2 linked regions of the Alligator mississippiensis genome follow. The protein of the gene in region 1 purifies or fractionates together with the protein of each later gene. This does not show direct contact. Links are inferred from orthologs where the notes say so. Each region holds a gene or a part of one and is shown on either strand. Other genes may lie near its edges.

Region 1 (7,925 bases):
ACTCTTTGCAGAGTTTGGGACCTTGAAGAAGGCGGCAGTACATTATGACCGGTCTGGACGCAGTTTAGGGACGGCAGATGTACACTTTGAAAGAAAGGCAGATGCTCTGAAGGCGATGAAGCAGTACAATGGTGTCCCCTTGGATGGTGAGTGTGCCTGGCTCTTTCCAGGGGACACTTGATTCAGTAGGGGAAGGATTTTAGTTGCCAGTGCCACTGGCAGAAATTTGTATTCCGTTTTCCCCTCTCCCAGGGCGCCCCATGAACATCCAACTGGTCACATCACAGATAGACACACAGAGGAGACCAATACAAAGGTGAGATGTTTTGTCTCATGGGGCCTGGGTGACTCGTTCTCTTCATGTGGGCAGTGAATTTGTGTAGCCTGCTTCTGTAGGAAGATGGCTTTGGGCTTCAGGTCTGTCCTTGCAGCACTTTCCTGGTGGTTGGGTTTCCTTGTGGTGGGACTGTGCCATGACTAACAAAACTGCTTTCTCTGCTTCACAGTGTAAACAGAGGTGGCATGACCAGAACCCGTGGGTCAGGATTTGGTGGTGGAGGCAGTAACAGGCGAGGTAGCCGTGGTGGGAACAGAGGGAGAGGCAGAGGAACAGGAAGAAGTTCAAAGCAGCAACTCTCTGCAGAAGAATTAGATGCACAGTTGGATGCTTACAATGCCAGGGTAAGTACAGGTTCCCTGGGTGGAGTTTGTATGTGTACATCAGTCCTCAACAGTCTACAGCTGTTTGCCAGAATGATGGGCCAAATGTGTCTCCTCGAGACTGGTCAGTACCTGGTTCCTGAATTGTCTTATTCAGAAGTAAGAAGTGGCCCTCGGGGACCAGCTTTTCAACAGGCAGAGGCCTGTTTGGGCCAGACTCTCCTGTCAGTGCTGCACATTACTGTCTGTGAAGATCTGGGTCCACTCTTTGTGGGTGAGGGGAAGAGCTGGGGCAAAGAGCTTGACCTAGTGTGACCTGATGCTGAAGGCTAGCAGAGAAGGGCTGCATCATTGGAGGCACATCTGGTGTTGTCCCCCTGCCCCTTCAAATAAAGGGGCCAGCAACCGCACTCAGCAGGGCAGCCTCCACTGACTGAATGAATGCATGCAGTGGAGCTGTCCTAAAGGAGAAAGCAGGCCTATGATTAGACTGGGAAATGTAGGTAATGGATCTAAAGAATTGGGTGCCTGCAGCTAGTCTGTTAACAACAGCTTAGATCAGGGGTGGGCAAAATGCAGCCCGTGGACTGAATCTGGCCTGCCAAGGGATTTTATTCAGTCTGCAGGGGGTCCCTCGGCCCCACCTAGCCCAGATGTGGTGGGCAGCCTGGACTGCAGTGCATGTGGTCAGTCCTGCCACCCCCGGGCATGCAGCAGGGCTGGGGCAGTACAGTGGCTGGACTCTGCTTGCCAGCCAGAGGAGCTGCTGCTGCCACTAAATCTAGGTACCATGATCTGTGCTGCGCCCCCCCGCCCCCCGAGGAGCAAGACGGAGCAGGTGGGAAGGGTCTCCAGGGAGACAGACCCAGGACCCTGTAGGCAGGGTGCACTCTGCTGGACAATGGGATGGGGGTGCAGGGGGCAGTGTCTGGAAGCAGGATGGGTGAGGTCAGGCCCAGGATCATGGGGCCTTACTGGGGGCGGATCGCGGCTTTACCCCCGGCCTCCTGCTCTCTTCCTGCCCACAGCCCCATCCTATTCACTCAGCTGACTGTGGGGGAGACCCTGCCCACTCTGTCTGGTGCCCCCCCAGACCAGTTTAGTAATCTATCACTTGAGGACTCTTGGTGAGCTGTTGTGGGCTAGGGGGTGCTGACCTAGCTTGCAAGAGCTCGCCAAAACTTCCTAGCCCAATTATTTGCCCACCCCTGGCTTAGACTGTGAGGCTTTCAGGCTCCTGTTAACGAGCATGTGGGCATGTGCTATGTGAAAGTCTCCTAGATAAGGGGAAGTGATCGGCAAACTGACTGCCATTTCAGACTCTAGTCCTTGCTAAGAGACACATTGGGAGGTATGTGAAGAACGAAGCAGAGCAAATGTGCCCATTTATCAGAATAAGAGTGACCTGGGCAGGTTTTGTCTAGTACATGCTGGAAAAACTTTTATTAAACCACTTCTAGGCATTTAACAGATAACGAAGACATGAGCAGCAAGTAGCATGATGGGTTTGTACAGGACATCTTGATGGGCAGCTCGATGGCTCTCTTGCAGAACTACAGTGATAGCGGGGGGAAATGGAGTTGGCCAGACCTCATGCGACTTAATTCACAAGCTGGAAGCTTAGCATGGAACAGGCTTAAACTATATTGTAGCAGAGCTAGCTGCTGTGAAAACACTTCCAGTGAGGACCCCTAGGCTTGATCTATGTTGGGACCAGTGTTCGAGAGGAGTGAACAGAGCACTTGAGTTGTTCCTAGGGATGTTTTAAAAGGGCTGGCGGGGTGAGTGACACGGGGCCCTAGGCCTGAGGAGACCAGCTGCCAGAAATGCAGGAGTCAGCACACAGGACTGTCACTGTATGGTCAGTGTGACGTTGGTTTGCATCTGCAAAGCAAGGAGGAAGTAGCAAGGGCCTGGTGTTATTGCAGGTCACGTGCTGAATCTACACCAGCAGCGTGACTGGCTGACAAAGGCTTATTTTACCAGTGCTTCACTAGCAAAGAAAACTACTAAATCGTGCGTGCGCTGAATGCTTGTGGCTGCCGCCAGGCTTGAGCAGCAGTGCTGCGGAGTGCTCTCTCCCAGGCGGTGTTATGAATGTCTGAAACCTAACTGGTTTAATGTCAGTATGTTGCTACTGTCCGTGGTGGTAGAAGTGCCCCCCCACCTGTAACACCTCATCCTTAACGCCTCCTTCTGCATCCTTGGCAGCCAAGAATCCCACCTGCACTACCCAGCTCAACTGCCTCTTGCGCCAGCAGGTGCATGTGGCACAGGCCTGTTTCTTTGACCCCTGTCCTGAGCCGTTTCCTCTACATTGCTCAGGCTGTTCACCCCTTGCTACTGCTTGCTGAGACCTGTTCTCCCATTGCCATGGCAACCTTGCCCTGAAAAACTGCTTACCAGCCTTATGACAGCCCCAACCTGGAGTGCTGGAGCCTGGCTTCTGTCTGCTGCCCCCCCCATGTGCTCTGGGGGGCCATGCCACGAGTAGAGCTGCAGGTACCGGTCGTGGTAGGGGCTGAACTGCGCAACACGGCAGCCAGATTCTCCAGGGCAGTTTCTGCAGTTGTTTGTACTGTGGACACACACCTGCAGGACACAGAAAACTAAGATGGGCACCTGTTAACGTGAAGCTAATACTAAAAACAAGTAATGCAGCATGCCCCGGACTGCCTGCGTGCTTCATAATTCAGGAGGGCTGCTCTCACTACGCACTTCCTGTATCTGAGAAGGGTGGGGTGTGCCTTGCCTTTTAAACATTACTGGGAAGAACAGGATGAAAATAAGAGGGTGACGGAGGAGGAGAGCTGGAGCTGGATTTCGGGGGGGAGGGGGAATAGTACAACCTCTGAGATGTGCTGGGCTTCCCTCTCAGGTGGTGGAAATGAAATGGGGTCTCTTAAAACTAGACAGGGGTGCTGGGAAAGAGGGGAAGGGAGAGCAGGGTCTTGCCCACCTTGGAGAAGTGCACCAGTCAGTTCATTTTTAAAGTGTGCCCAGTTAGGCGGGTTCACACCTAATGCATTTCAGCCAGTTTGACCCTTTCTTCCCATATTGGTATGTTCCAGTGGAAGCAGCTGGCTCTAAACTGATCATGAACGGGACTGAGGCTCTGGCTAAGCTCGGGTTGAACCGGAAAGCTTTGTGCGAGCACGCTCCATAGGTCCTCTTTGCCTTGCCCATGGCACAGCCGAGTAACTGCACTTCACTCTTGTTCTAGATGGACACCAGCTAAAGCAGCGAGCACGTCCCCTGCATGGAAAGGACTCCAGACATCTCATTCCATGCTCTCCGGAGGGAGGGGTGTACGACTGTGGCTACTACTATCAAGGACGGAATTTGTTTTACTTTTATGTTTTGGAATAGGTTTTAAACTCATGTAAAGGTTTTTTTTAATTCTGAAACAGACCTGTTTTGTACCGAGTTATTTTTGGGAAAAATTTTACTGGTTGCCTGTTGGGCGGAGGTGGCTTTTTCACCTTTGCCGTAATAAAATAGAAATGTGTCTAGATCTGTAAATGTTTGCTTCCTGTTGCAGCTGGAGCCGAGGAGCGGAGTCAGCGGGCGGCAGGAGCGTGAGCGGGTGGGAGGTGGTGGGCAGGCCTCTGTCGCATCCCGTGCTGAGGGCCGAGTCCCTTGCCCTCCGGAGGAGGCTACTGTTCTGCCTTGGCTCTTTTCCCCTCCCCAGCGTCAGTGCGAGCTGTGTGCGTGCAGCTGCGGGGGGAGCCGCCCTGCCCTAGCTGCAGGGACACGAGAGTGCAGCGTGTGGCGGGAGGGCCCGGACCCCGCTGCTGCACCAAGCCTGGCTGCGAGGGGCCCAGGAAAGACTTGGTCTTTCAGTGACCCCCCGCCCCCTGCTCGTTTCTCGGGGGGGCCTCGTGTGCCCCTTTCCGCCCCCCGGAGCCCTGCCGGGTGGGGCTGCTCCACGTGCTGCCGCGATCCGTCCCCCCCCCCCCCCGCCTATTTCCCGCCCGGTGACGTCACGGCAGGGGCGGGGCTCGGGCTGCCGCCTCCACTTTATTGCCACAGGCGCTTCCGGTTGCGGACAGCCCGCCATGCTTCTCGCAGGGGCGCTCCCTCCGGCGCCCGAACTCTATGGTCCCTCCCCCAGCGGTCGCATGCCCAGTCCCGTCTGGCCAATCAGCGTCGCGAGCCGGGCCGGAAGTGAGGCACTTGGGGTCGGCCTCATATAACAGGAAGTGACGGGCGTGTCCCGGAAGTGCGAGGGCACGCAGCGGCGGTGGGGCGGATCCGGGCGGCGGTGTCAGTGCAGCTCGGAGCAGCGAACGGGCCGGGTAGGGCGGGGCGGGGCGGGGCTGCGACCTCTCGTGCCCAGGCCCAGGCCCAGGCCCGGGGCCACGGGCGGGGCGGGGCGCCCGGGTCCTGCTCCCGCCAGTGCTGCGGCCTCCGCGCGCGGGGCCTGGGGGCGTCTCCGGGGTCACGGCGGCTCCCGGTCCCGCTCCGCCGCGGGGGCGCGTCTGTGCCGAGGTCTCGCCGGGCCTGCCCCCGGGCGCGGCCCCCCACAAAAGCCGGGCCCGGCGTCGGCGGGTCCGTGCGCCGCTGTCGGCCCGCGGGTGCCTGGGAGCCCCCGGCCCGGCCGCGCTCGCCCCTCGGGCCCCGCTCGCAGCCGCGTGCTCCCGCTCCCCCTGCCCCCGCGGAGGCAGCGGCGTCCCCGGGCCGGCCTCGCAGCCGCTTGCGCCAGAGCGGAGCCCGAGGAGACGGGATGGGCTCGCAGGCCGTTGTCCTCCCTCCCTCCCTCCCTCGCTGGCTGTCTGGCTGGCTGGCAGACCCGAGCGGGGTCGGGCGGCCCTGGCGGCGGGGCTGCCTCTGCTCGGTGCAAGGAGCCCGGCAGAAAGGCTCTGGAGGCGGCAGGCTCCCTCCGTCACAACCGGGTCACGGACGCACACGATGCAGGCGCCGGCGCCTGCTTGCTGCCCCTCCCCGGTGCCAGGCTCGCGGGCGCCCCGGGGCCGACCAGCAAGACCGCGGGGCCCGGCTGCCTCTGTCGTCCGTCCGTCCGTCCGTGGGCTCCTGGGGGTTGCCCCGGTGCCCCCACCCCCTCGCTGCCCGTGCCGCCGGGCCTAGGACTTGAGCAGAGCCCGGGCGCTGTTTCCAGGGCAGGCGTGGGTTGGGACGCTCGGATACTTCCTTTCGTGCCCGTGGCTGGCCGATGGGCTCGATGTCGGAGCTGGCCTGCAGCCCGCTTGGCTGGTCTGGCTCGTCCCCGCGCCGGGCCCAGGACAGCGTGGCCCTTTAGCAAGGTGTCCTGGGGCTGGCTCGAGTCGTCTGTCCCTGAGCGCTTGGCCGGAGGGGCCTCGGCTTCCCACCTCCCCGCTGAGAGCACGCGTGCGCCGGCTGCAGTCCCCAGGGGCTGTCTGCCAGGAGCCTGGGGATCCCGGCTGCAGGGTGCCCGAGCGTGGGTGGGCACAGAGACCCCAGGGGAGTCCGACGGCACTGCTGCTGCAGTCTCTTCGTGCTCCTGAGAGCCACGGGCGGGAGCGGTTTCGTGCTGGGAGGCTCAGGAGCTGCGTTCTGCCTCGGGCGCAGGGTGAGAGTCCTGTCCTGCCCCCTGCTGAGGCTGCGGGGAAGTGCCGGTGAGTCATTTTTCCCCTCTGCTCGAGGGCTGGCTTCCTTGTTGGTGCTGCGATGGCGAGGGCCGAGGCTTGCTGCGGGGAAAGGCATTGCCCCCTTGCCCTTGGGCTCCCTCGCCAGGCTTGCATTGCAAGGAGGGTGCTGAGCAGCTCCGTGGGTTTGCCTGCGAAAGGCCGCTCTGGGTGCATGTAGGGTTTCCTGGGGGCTTTTCCTTGCAGCACTGCTAGCTGTGGGTTGTCATGGTGACAGGTTAAGGAGGGCGTGTGCAGGCTGGGGGAGGTCTGGAGCGGGGAGAATCCCTGCAGCTGCACGTGGTGCGAGATGCCCCCGAGTCTCTTGTGCTGGCGCCTGCAGCTGTTTGCGTTGGCAGGGCTTCCCTTGCGCTGCTCTGCCTTCCCGGGCTGGGAAGGGAGAACCCAGGGCAGCAGCAGGTGCCTGCGGCCTGTGACCCACTGGTCTGGGGAGATCCTGGAGGAGGGTCTCCTGTGCGGCGGAGGTGGGTGCTGCCTGGTGCTGCAGGAGCGGAGCAGCCTGCGGTCACCCGCGCTGGCAGGCAGTAGCACAACTTGGGGCCGCAAGGCCGTGCGGTGTGGGAGCTATTGATCGGGGTGGGAGCCTGCAAAGCGGTGAGGAGCCCAGGCTCTTTGAGGGGGGCGTCTCCATGCATTGGTGCCCCTTGCCCGCATGGCGGCCATTAGCAGGACCTGTGTGCGGAGGTCAGCAGCTAGGGAGGAGCTGTGGTTGTCTATGCCCAGGTCCTGGTGCGTCAGCTGCTGCAGGCGCCACTTTGCTGGAGGTTGCACCGGTGCCCCGCTGCAGCTGGGACGCCTGAGCATGGGCCTCGGGGCCCCTGGTAGCTGGCGCGGTCAGTCTGGGTGGCCTGGCAGTGTGGTCTGCCCAGCTCTGAGCACCAGGAAGCAGAGGCCAAGAGCATGTTGCCACCAGCCCTCTCTGTCCAACTGACCTGGGCTGTACAGGCGCTTCCCCTCAGCGGCTGGAGGAAGAGCCCCGGCCTCGGGGAGGCTTCGTGACAGTCTCCTTCCTGCCTGGTTTGGCGCCTTCCCTGGGGAAGCTGCCAAGGAGCTGTGACTGGGGCGGGGGGGGGCGGCGCGCTGGGACGAGCTGCTGGGCGTGGGCAGGGCAGGGCAGGAGGTGGCAGCGGGAGCCTCTGGGGTGGGTGGGTGGGTGGGCGGGCTGTGCCGAGCCTTGGGCCCCTCTATCCGGCTGGGCACACGTGGCCCCTCCCGGCACCGCCAGCCCAGGCCCGAGTGAGTTCCTTGCCCTCCGCCTGCGTGGTAGCACTCTGCTTCCAGTGCCTCGCCGGGGGGTGGGCAGCCCCCAGGACCCGGCACTGAGGTGTCCTTCCCTGAGCTACAACTTGCTGGGCCTGGAGTTGTCCTCACTGTCAGTGCTGGCAGGGGGCTGCTGGGGCCCGTGGTACCCACAGGAGTCCCAGCCATGTGGAGCGTGGTGCTGGGGGCCACCAGGCTTGCTTTGGAGGGGGCAGTGCTGGGCTGGTGGTTACCTGATGCTGGACGTAAGGGCTTGGCCCTTCATAGGAAGCTGCTCCCCAGTAACGTCCGAAACGTGGCCACACCCAGGCTGTGTCCCGCCAGCTCCCTGCGCCCAGTGCTGCAGCCTGCGCTGGCTTGGCCCACGGGGCTGATGGC
Region 2 (7,535 bases), on another chromosome or scaffold:
TTCACTTAGCCCCACCCTTGCTGGCCCTACTTTCTTGGCCTCTCACTAGGTTCCTGGGACCCACACTCTCAGCCCCTCAATCTGGGCTCCAGACCCCTCCCTGGGTCCCTAGAAAGCCCCTTATCCCCTTAGTTCCTCCCCAAGCCTCCCTCCAGGTGTTACCCTCCATGTTGACCTTCTGGAGCTGCAGCCATCCTGCTGAGGTGGTGTTTTCTCAGCAGGCTCCACAAAATGCTACTGCTGGGTCATCTCGGGGCCTGGGCATATATCCTCCTCCTGGGTTGGGTGACTGCAATCAGCCCAAGCCATACCTGCAGGTTGCCCCAGCACTAGCCTGCCCACTTCTTAAAGTGGCAGGAGCATCAAGCCTCCTGCAACACTTAGCATAGGAAGGATTTAGGTGCCTTAGCAACAATTTACATGGAATTTAGGAGTCAATCCAGAACTGCAATCTTGAAAACTCCCGTTTTAAAATTCCAAGTGCTGAGGGCTGTAGTCTTCACATGCTTGATCCATATCTGAGTTACCTGGACCTTTATGCTACATTAAACTGAGCTTCATTCCTTCAAGGAGCTCCAAGCCAGTGGTCCCTGTATCCATAAAGAGTTACTCACAGGACTGATGGGGCAAAAAAATTTCATAAAATTTCTGCAGATGTCTGCTCCTGGATTCTTCAGACACAAAAAAAGGCTTATTTTGGCATTTTGCCATCCGATCACAGCCAGAAACAGGAGGAGCATACATAAAAATGAAAACTAATGGAAAGAAATAGCTTTGAAGCTAAAAAAATGTTCACTTAGAGTTCTAAGTGAAAGTTCATGTGTTGGGTTTTAAAAATATCCCAAACTTAGCATATTTATTTGTAATGCCTGCCAGAGTCTACCAAAAACATGGCTGACCTTTGGTCTGCTGCACAGCTAATGGCGCATGAATCTGAGCAGAATTTTGCAAAATTCCATCCAGGATGAATTCACATGTGTGACTGTTTAATATGTAGATGCTAAACATATAATTCCTGAACCCTCTGAAACTGGATAGTCCCTGCAGTATACAGGGGGACACTGGAATGGCTATGGCTATCCAACCCTCATTCACAAATAACTTACCTGCTTTCAGTGTATAGTTGATCCCACAGCCCTTTTCATAAGAGTTGGAGTTTCTGTGGTGGACTTAGCTAGATTCTCACCTCCGCTCTTACCCAGTCTGCTGGCCACCAGTACATTTCAGTGGTGCTTCAGGATCTTTCCTTAGGAAAGGTACATAAATGTGAAATACCGCCGGTCCCTTATTTGGCCCGTTGTATTTTACCCGCACTTCATTCATACACTTTCTTTCAAATCTTAGATGTGGTGGCATTTCATTTGCTCTGGCAGGGGTACTCCAATCATTGCTTGGTGGCATCTTGGTGGTCTCTTTGCGTACTGTTACGACTGTCTTTTCCCATCTACTCTCTAGTACTTGATTGGCCTTTTTGACCCAAATCATTTTTTCAGCTTGATTTTTTGCTCCTTCCTGTGTCCTATCTATATATTAGTGGTGTTTCATTGTGATCATGGAAAAATGTGGATTTTGGGTTCATTTTCTTAATCCAAAAATTGGGGATTTTTTTTAATCAGAGAAAACCAGGATCCCTGGTAATCAAGTCTCTTAGAGTTGGAGTGGGAGCTTTAAGGAAGACATGGGATATTGTAAAAGAGGTGAGAGTTGGTCACACTACTGCATCCAGTATCCCATGGACCTGCCTTCTGCCCTTTGGACCAGCCCAGTGTCAGGATGGAAGACACGGGGGACTTCAGTAAGCACATCTTGGCAAAATACCACATCCCCACAAGAATCAGAAATGGCTGCAAATAAATATAAACATCAGAATTGGGCCTTTAAATGTGAAAAGGCACACTTCAAACCAAAGCTGAAACCCTGCAGCGCAGCAGTCCTCAATTGATGCTGGCAAATAGCGCAATAAATTTAGACTGACCACACATGCAAAGTAATTATCTCTCAATTAACTGGTGAATCGCACAATAAATTTAGTCCAGCCACACTGTGAAAAATAATTATCACCAATAAAAATTACTATCCCGCTGTAACAAGAGCCAAGCAGCTATAAAGTTAGTGCTTAAAAATTATAACAATTCTATAGCTGGTTTCTAGACAGCTTTTAATTTGAACATGTACCAGGGCCCAGAGAGTCCCTACATATTGTCAAGCACTCACTGGTCAGCTCTTTTTATAGTTGGATAGTCCTTTTGATCCTGGGATAATTACTTTGCCCACCTTTGGCCAGTGTCAATTTATGGCATGATGAATTGTATGATATATCTAACGTGTAGCAGGGGCTTTGGTTGCACAACTCCTAGTGCTAACATTGGGTGGCAGCCCATTGCGCCTTTAGGGGCCCTGCTATACATTCAAATCAAAGCTGGATAGAAATCAGCTATAGACTTGTTAAACAATTTCAAGCACTAATTTCATAGCTGGTTGGCTCTTTTTAAAGTTGGATAGTCCTTTTGATGATGTGATGATTAGGGCCTTCCTAAAACTGGATAGAAACCAGCTATAACATTATTACACAGTTTCAAGCACTAACCTTACAGCTAGTTGACTCTTTTTATAGATGAATAGTCATTTTTGTGTGTTAATTACTTTGCCTGTTTAGCCAGTCTAAACTGATTGCATAATTCACCAGTTAGTTGCATAATATATATAACATGTTGCAGGGGCCTTATACCTTTACACCTATGGCTAGTCTGCATTTATTGCGTGATTTGCCAGTTCATTGTATGATCATTAGTTTGCATCTGTTGCTGGTCTACATTTATTGTGCGATTCACCCGTGCATTGAGTAAATGTAACATGCAATAGAGGCCTAAACTTTGCACCTCTGACTGACCTAAAGGTATTGTGCCATTCACCAGTTCCTGGTGTCATAGGTGCCAACTTTTATTTTGCCAAGGGTCGGGCGATAAGATGATGGACGTGGAAAGTTTTACACATTTCAGGTGACAGCCCTCTTCCCAAGGGGGGGCAGGGTTCTTAGGCCCCCACATACTTAGCACCTCTGCCTGGTGTGATCATTACTTTGCATGTGCAGCCTATCTACATTTATTGCATGAATAACCATGAGGTGCACAATAAATGTAATGTGCGGCAGGAGCCTTATAACTTTGCACCTGTGGCTGGTTTAAAGGTATCTCACCATTCTCTAGTTCATGGTGCGATCACTCTTTTGCACCTGTGGCCCCTCTACATATATTGTGGGATTCATCCATGCATAGTGTGATAAATGTAATGGGTGGCAGGTCCCTTATAGCTTTGTCTCTCTGCCTGGTCTAAAGGTATTCTGCCATTCCCCAGGTCATGGTGCCATCACTCCTTTGGCCCCTCTACATTTACTGCATGATTCCCGAGTTTGTGGTGTCATTGTTTCTTTGGCCCCTCTACATTTATTGCCCAATCCCCCGGTTCACGATGCGATGGATCCTTTGGCCCCCTACGTTTATGATGTGTGAGTCCACATTTCACTGTGTGATTGGTCCTTTGGCTTCTTTACATTTATTGCACAATTTTCTGGTTCGTGGCGTGAACACCCCTTTGACCCTGTGACCCATTTACATGTATTGCAGGACCCCCTGTGCCATTGTTCCTTTGCCCCTGTGGCCTATCTACATGCATCACTTGTGCACGGTATAATAAATGTAATGTGTGACAGGGGCAGGGCTGGTGAATCCCTGCTCTTGTGAGGACAGGTGCGGCTCCAAGCTGGGCTGGGGGGACACCAAGGACTACATCAGCGTGGAGGGGCGCTGCCCGGGCTCGCAGGTGCAGCTAGGGCAGATGCCCGGGCGCCCATTTCGTGGCTCCAGAAGACAAGCAGGGTCTCGGGAGCAAGTGCCCTGAGCAGCTGCAGCCCCCCCTCTTGCCTGCCCCTTCCAGCCCTGCAGCCACACGCATCCCACCTCTGCACACATACACAACACACACCACACTCCTTCCAGGAAGAGCACACACCAACTGCTGCAGCTTCCTGAGCCTGACGAAGGGTTTTTGAACCCAAAAGCTTGCTTAATAACGATTCTCCAACCATTTGGGTTGGTCTAATAAAAGATATCAAATTCACCCAAGGAACCTTGTCTGCCTATGTCCTTAGACCAACACGGCTACAACCTAAACCCCTACCACACTCCCTCCACACCCATGCAACCACACTCCCTCCACACACATACACACCCACGCAAACACACTCCCTCTGCACACGTGCACAGCCACACTCCCTCCACACACGGACAGCACACACCGCACTCCCTCCAGACGTGCACAACACGCACAACCACACTCCCTACACACACAACACAACACAACACAACACACATTTGGGACAACTCCGCATTTGAGACCCCCCCGCGCAAAGCGGCGCTGTGAGGAGGCGAGGCCGGGCCGGACCGGGCCCGCAGTCCCGGCCCGGCCCCGCCCGCACCTGCGCGGACTGTCCTGGAGGCCGGGGCGTGTCGGCCGCCCTGCTGCGGCACCCAGGGCGAGGTGGGGCGGCAGGAAAGGCCGGGCCCGGGCATGAATCACCCTCGCGCTCCGCTTCCCTCCCCCCGGCCCTGCCCTTAAGAGCCAGCCGGGGCCTCCGCCCGCGAGTGCTTGTCGGGGCAGCCAAGAGCTGCGAGCGCCTCCTCGCCCAGCTCCGTGCCGCGCCGCGCCCGGCAACCAGCTGCTGCCGCCTTCTGCCGCCTCGGCTCTGGCCCCTACCCCTGCTCGCAGCCACCATGCCCAAGCCGGTGAGTGCCTGCTTTGTGTCCTAGCCCCCGGCCTGCTCCTGCCTGCCGGGCAGGGCTGTGGTACTGGAGACCTCCGCATTTGAGACCCCGCGTTTGGGGCTTTTGGATACACCCTCCGCTAAGCCTGTGTCGTCCTCGAGCTCGAAAGTTAGCGCTGGGAAATGTGCTCTTTCTTTCTTTTGGCGCGCGCTTCTTTTCTTTTTCCACGTCGAGGTGCGTGCCGGTTGTACCGTGATGCGTGAGCCCCCTCCTGGGCTTTCGGCTAAGCCATTTTTATAGGAATAGTTGTAAATGATACTTGCTCTGCACTAAGCCGGTCTGGCAAGCAAGGGATAAGCCCTGGGAGAGAAGGAGTTGTGTGTTCCTGACCAGTAAGTAAAATGGCACTTGCCTGGTTCAGCTCTTGGGGCTAGAGTCTGTGCCTGGGCTGCCAAACCTCCGGGATGGCTTTTCAAGCCTGTCACGAAGCAGTAGGTGTAGGCACTCCCAGGAGCATCCCTCTTGTGTGGCGGGGAAAAGAGAAGCTATAAGCTGGGGTCAGAAACGTGACTGAGGCTCCATCTAAGGTGCAGGGGTGGGGGGTGTGAACAGAAAGGTGACTGACGTTCAGTCTTAGTTGCTCCCCTTACATGCGTGTCTGTGTGTAAAGAGGAGCAACTTTCAGACTCGGCCTCAGTCACTTTGCATGCGCACACATACACACCTTAGACTGAGCCTCAGTCACCTTTATGTGCATATGCGCACACACACGTATGTGTGCGTACAGAAAGGTAACTGAGGCTCAGTCCAAGTGGGTGGGTGGGTGTGTATGGGGTGAAGGGGGCGGGGGGGTTTCAAAAGTTGCTTTCTGTTAAAAACCGGACAGAGGCAACCACTTATTCTTTCTGCAAGCACCGAATGAAACTTTCATGTGCATACTTAGCATTCGCGTATAGGTCGCTTCTAGGACAAACGCATCTGGGACCTCATTTTGAAAGGCATTGGACACCCGCAACTCCATCTAAGCTCAATGGGAACTGTACAGGCCTTGTACCACTGAAACTCGGGTCTCTTCTGGATTGCAGGACTGTCATCAGCTGCTCTTTAGATTAGAAAAAAAGCTCATTTTTAAAAGAAGAAAAGGTCAAATAATGCATTTCCTGTTATATTCTAAAATGCTTATAGGTTGATAGGAAGGTATTGAATAATTGAAAAAGGAGGGATGTTATTACACTCCCAAATCTAACTTTTAGAGTTAATGCTATCTAAGATGATAAAGCTGCAACTAATTATTCATTTATCTTGTTTCCCAATATAAAAGGAAGAGTACTTGGTCAAACAGTTGGCAGGAAGCACTATTGCATTTAAGGAGCCTGATCTGAAATGTTTCCTTTAAAGAAGTCAGAGGCAGAATTGCTCCCCTAAGCAAGCCTGGTCTGCTTTATCTTCCATACTGTTGCATTCATTTTTATAAATGTTATCCTGGAAAATGTGTTGTTATTTGTGAACTTCCATACTATCAGCAGCCACTTGCTTAAAGGAGCAAGAGCAGTGATTCCCAACCAGGGTGCTGCAGCACCCTGAGGTGCCTCAATAACCTTTTGTGGGTGCCATGGGGTGCTACACAATGGTAGCAGTGTTGTTAGATGTGTAAATATGATTCACAGTATAAACCCAAATGGAAATCCATAGTGTTTAAAAACATTCTGACCTGTTGTGGCTTTTTTAAGGTCTTTGCAACAGAAGAATTTCTCTTTTTCTATAGTTTTAAATATTGAGTGAAAACTAACAGCTGACATTTTTTTCTAAGGGGTGCCTTGAATCCAAGATGGTTGAGAACCAGTGGTCTAGAGGTCTGAATCAAAGCTTGAGTTGAGTGAGATTTGGATCAGGTCCTTCCAATAACTGGCCGTGGGAACAGATTGCTAACTGTGAAGGACAAAGTCAGCGTGGATGCCTGTTGCTGCATATCTTCAATAGAGGCTTGTCATCAATTTACCTTTTAGAAATGCAGTGGAACAGCTGTGGCAAGTTAGTCCTTTTTTTCCACTGTTGCTCTGACTGCAAAAAAATGGCTGGTCAGATTTTATTTTCTGATAAGCAGCCACTATCATTCAACCCAACATAACAGCAGTGTGTTGTAATTACATTTTTAGTGGCAGATATGCTATTGCTCAAGGTTAACCGTGGATGTATGTGTATGTTGTTAAAAAATTATTGTTTACTAGTACACTAATTTCTCTGAATGTTTCTGTGAGGGGAGGAAACACCCCGTTCTATTAAAGACATGGAGCAGTGTCAATTTACCAAGTCTTTCTTGCAGAACCTCTCCTCCACGCCCCCCAGATCTTGAATTTTCCCAGTAAATTGTATTGGCAGTTTTACCTAGTTCACAGTCTGCATAACAGGAATATATTTTCTCAGTCAGGTGTTGAGAGAGCTTTAGAGTTAATCCATTCTGTCCTCTTTCTCGTTCCTTGTTATTTCTTCAATTTGCAGGCTGTTTTTGGTACATGATATAAAAACGATATAGCTTGCCTTGAAAGTGTGGGGGTTTTTTTGTTTTGTTTTGCTTTTTGAATAAAACCCCCCAAAAAACAAACCTGCAGAGGACTAGCATGTAAACTTATATAGTTTACCCAAAGTGGCTTTGGGGAACAAAGTTTATGAAGTCGCACAGTCAGAATAATCTGAACTCCAGGGCTTTGATTAATTTATGCTGAAAGCCAGTGATGCTTGTGGACAGATTTTTTTTTTTTATCTAATCAACAAAAG

What was found. The genes of interacting proteins can lie anywhere in the genome.
Region 2: the proteins of ARHGDIA (region 1) and EZR purify together in Homo sapiens (co-purification; 3 studies listed by BioGRID and IntAct, with this or other methods). This does not show direct contact. The link is inferred for Alligator mississippiensis from reciprocal best matches to the Homo sapiens genes ARHGDIA and EZR.

What each region holds. Positions count from the first base shown.
Region 1 is NC_081831.1:492,190-500,114, forward strand, and holds the start of ARHGDIA (rho GDP-dissociation inhibitor 1), read left to right. Parts: upstream 1-4,850; 5' UTR 4,851-4,958; intron 4,959-7,925. Other genes in the region: ALYREF (THO complex subunit 4), read left to right, coding at 1-146, 253-316, 507-681, 3,884-3,898. UniProt on the Homo sapiens protein: Controls Rho proteins homeostasis. Regulates the GDP/GTP exchange reaction of the Rho proteins by inhibiting the dissociation of GDP from them, and the subsequent binding of GTP to them.
Region 2 is NC_081824.1:136,884,672-136,892,206, reverse strand, and holds the start of EZR (ezrin), read left to right. Parts: upstream 1-4,508; 5' UTR 4,509-4,769; coding exon 4,770-4,781; intron 4,782-7,535. UniProt on the Homo sapiens protein: Probably involved in connections of major cytoskeletal structures to the plasma membrane. In epithelial cells, required for the formation of microvilli and membrane ruffles on the apical pole. Along with PLEKHG6, required for normal macropinocytosis.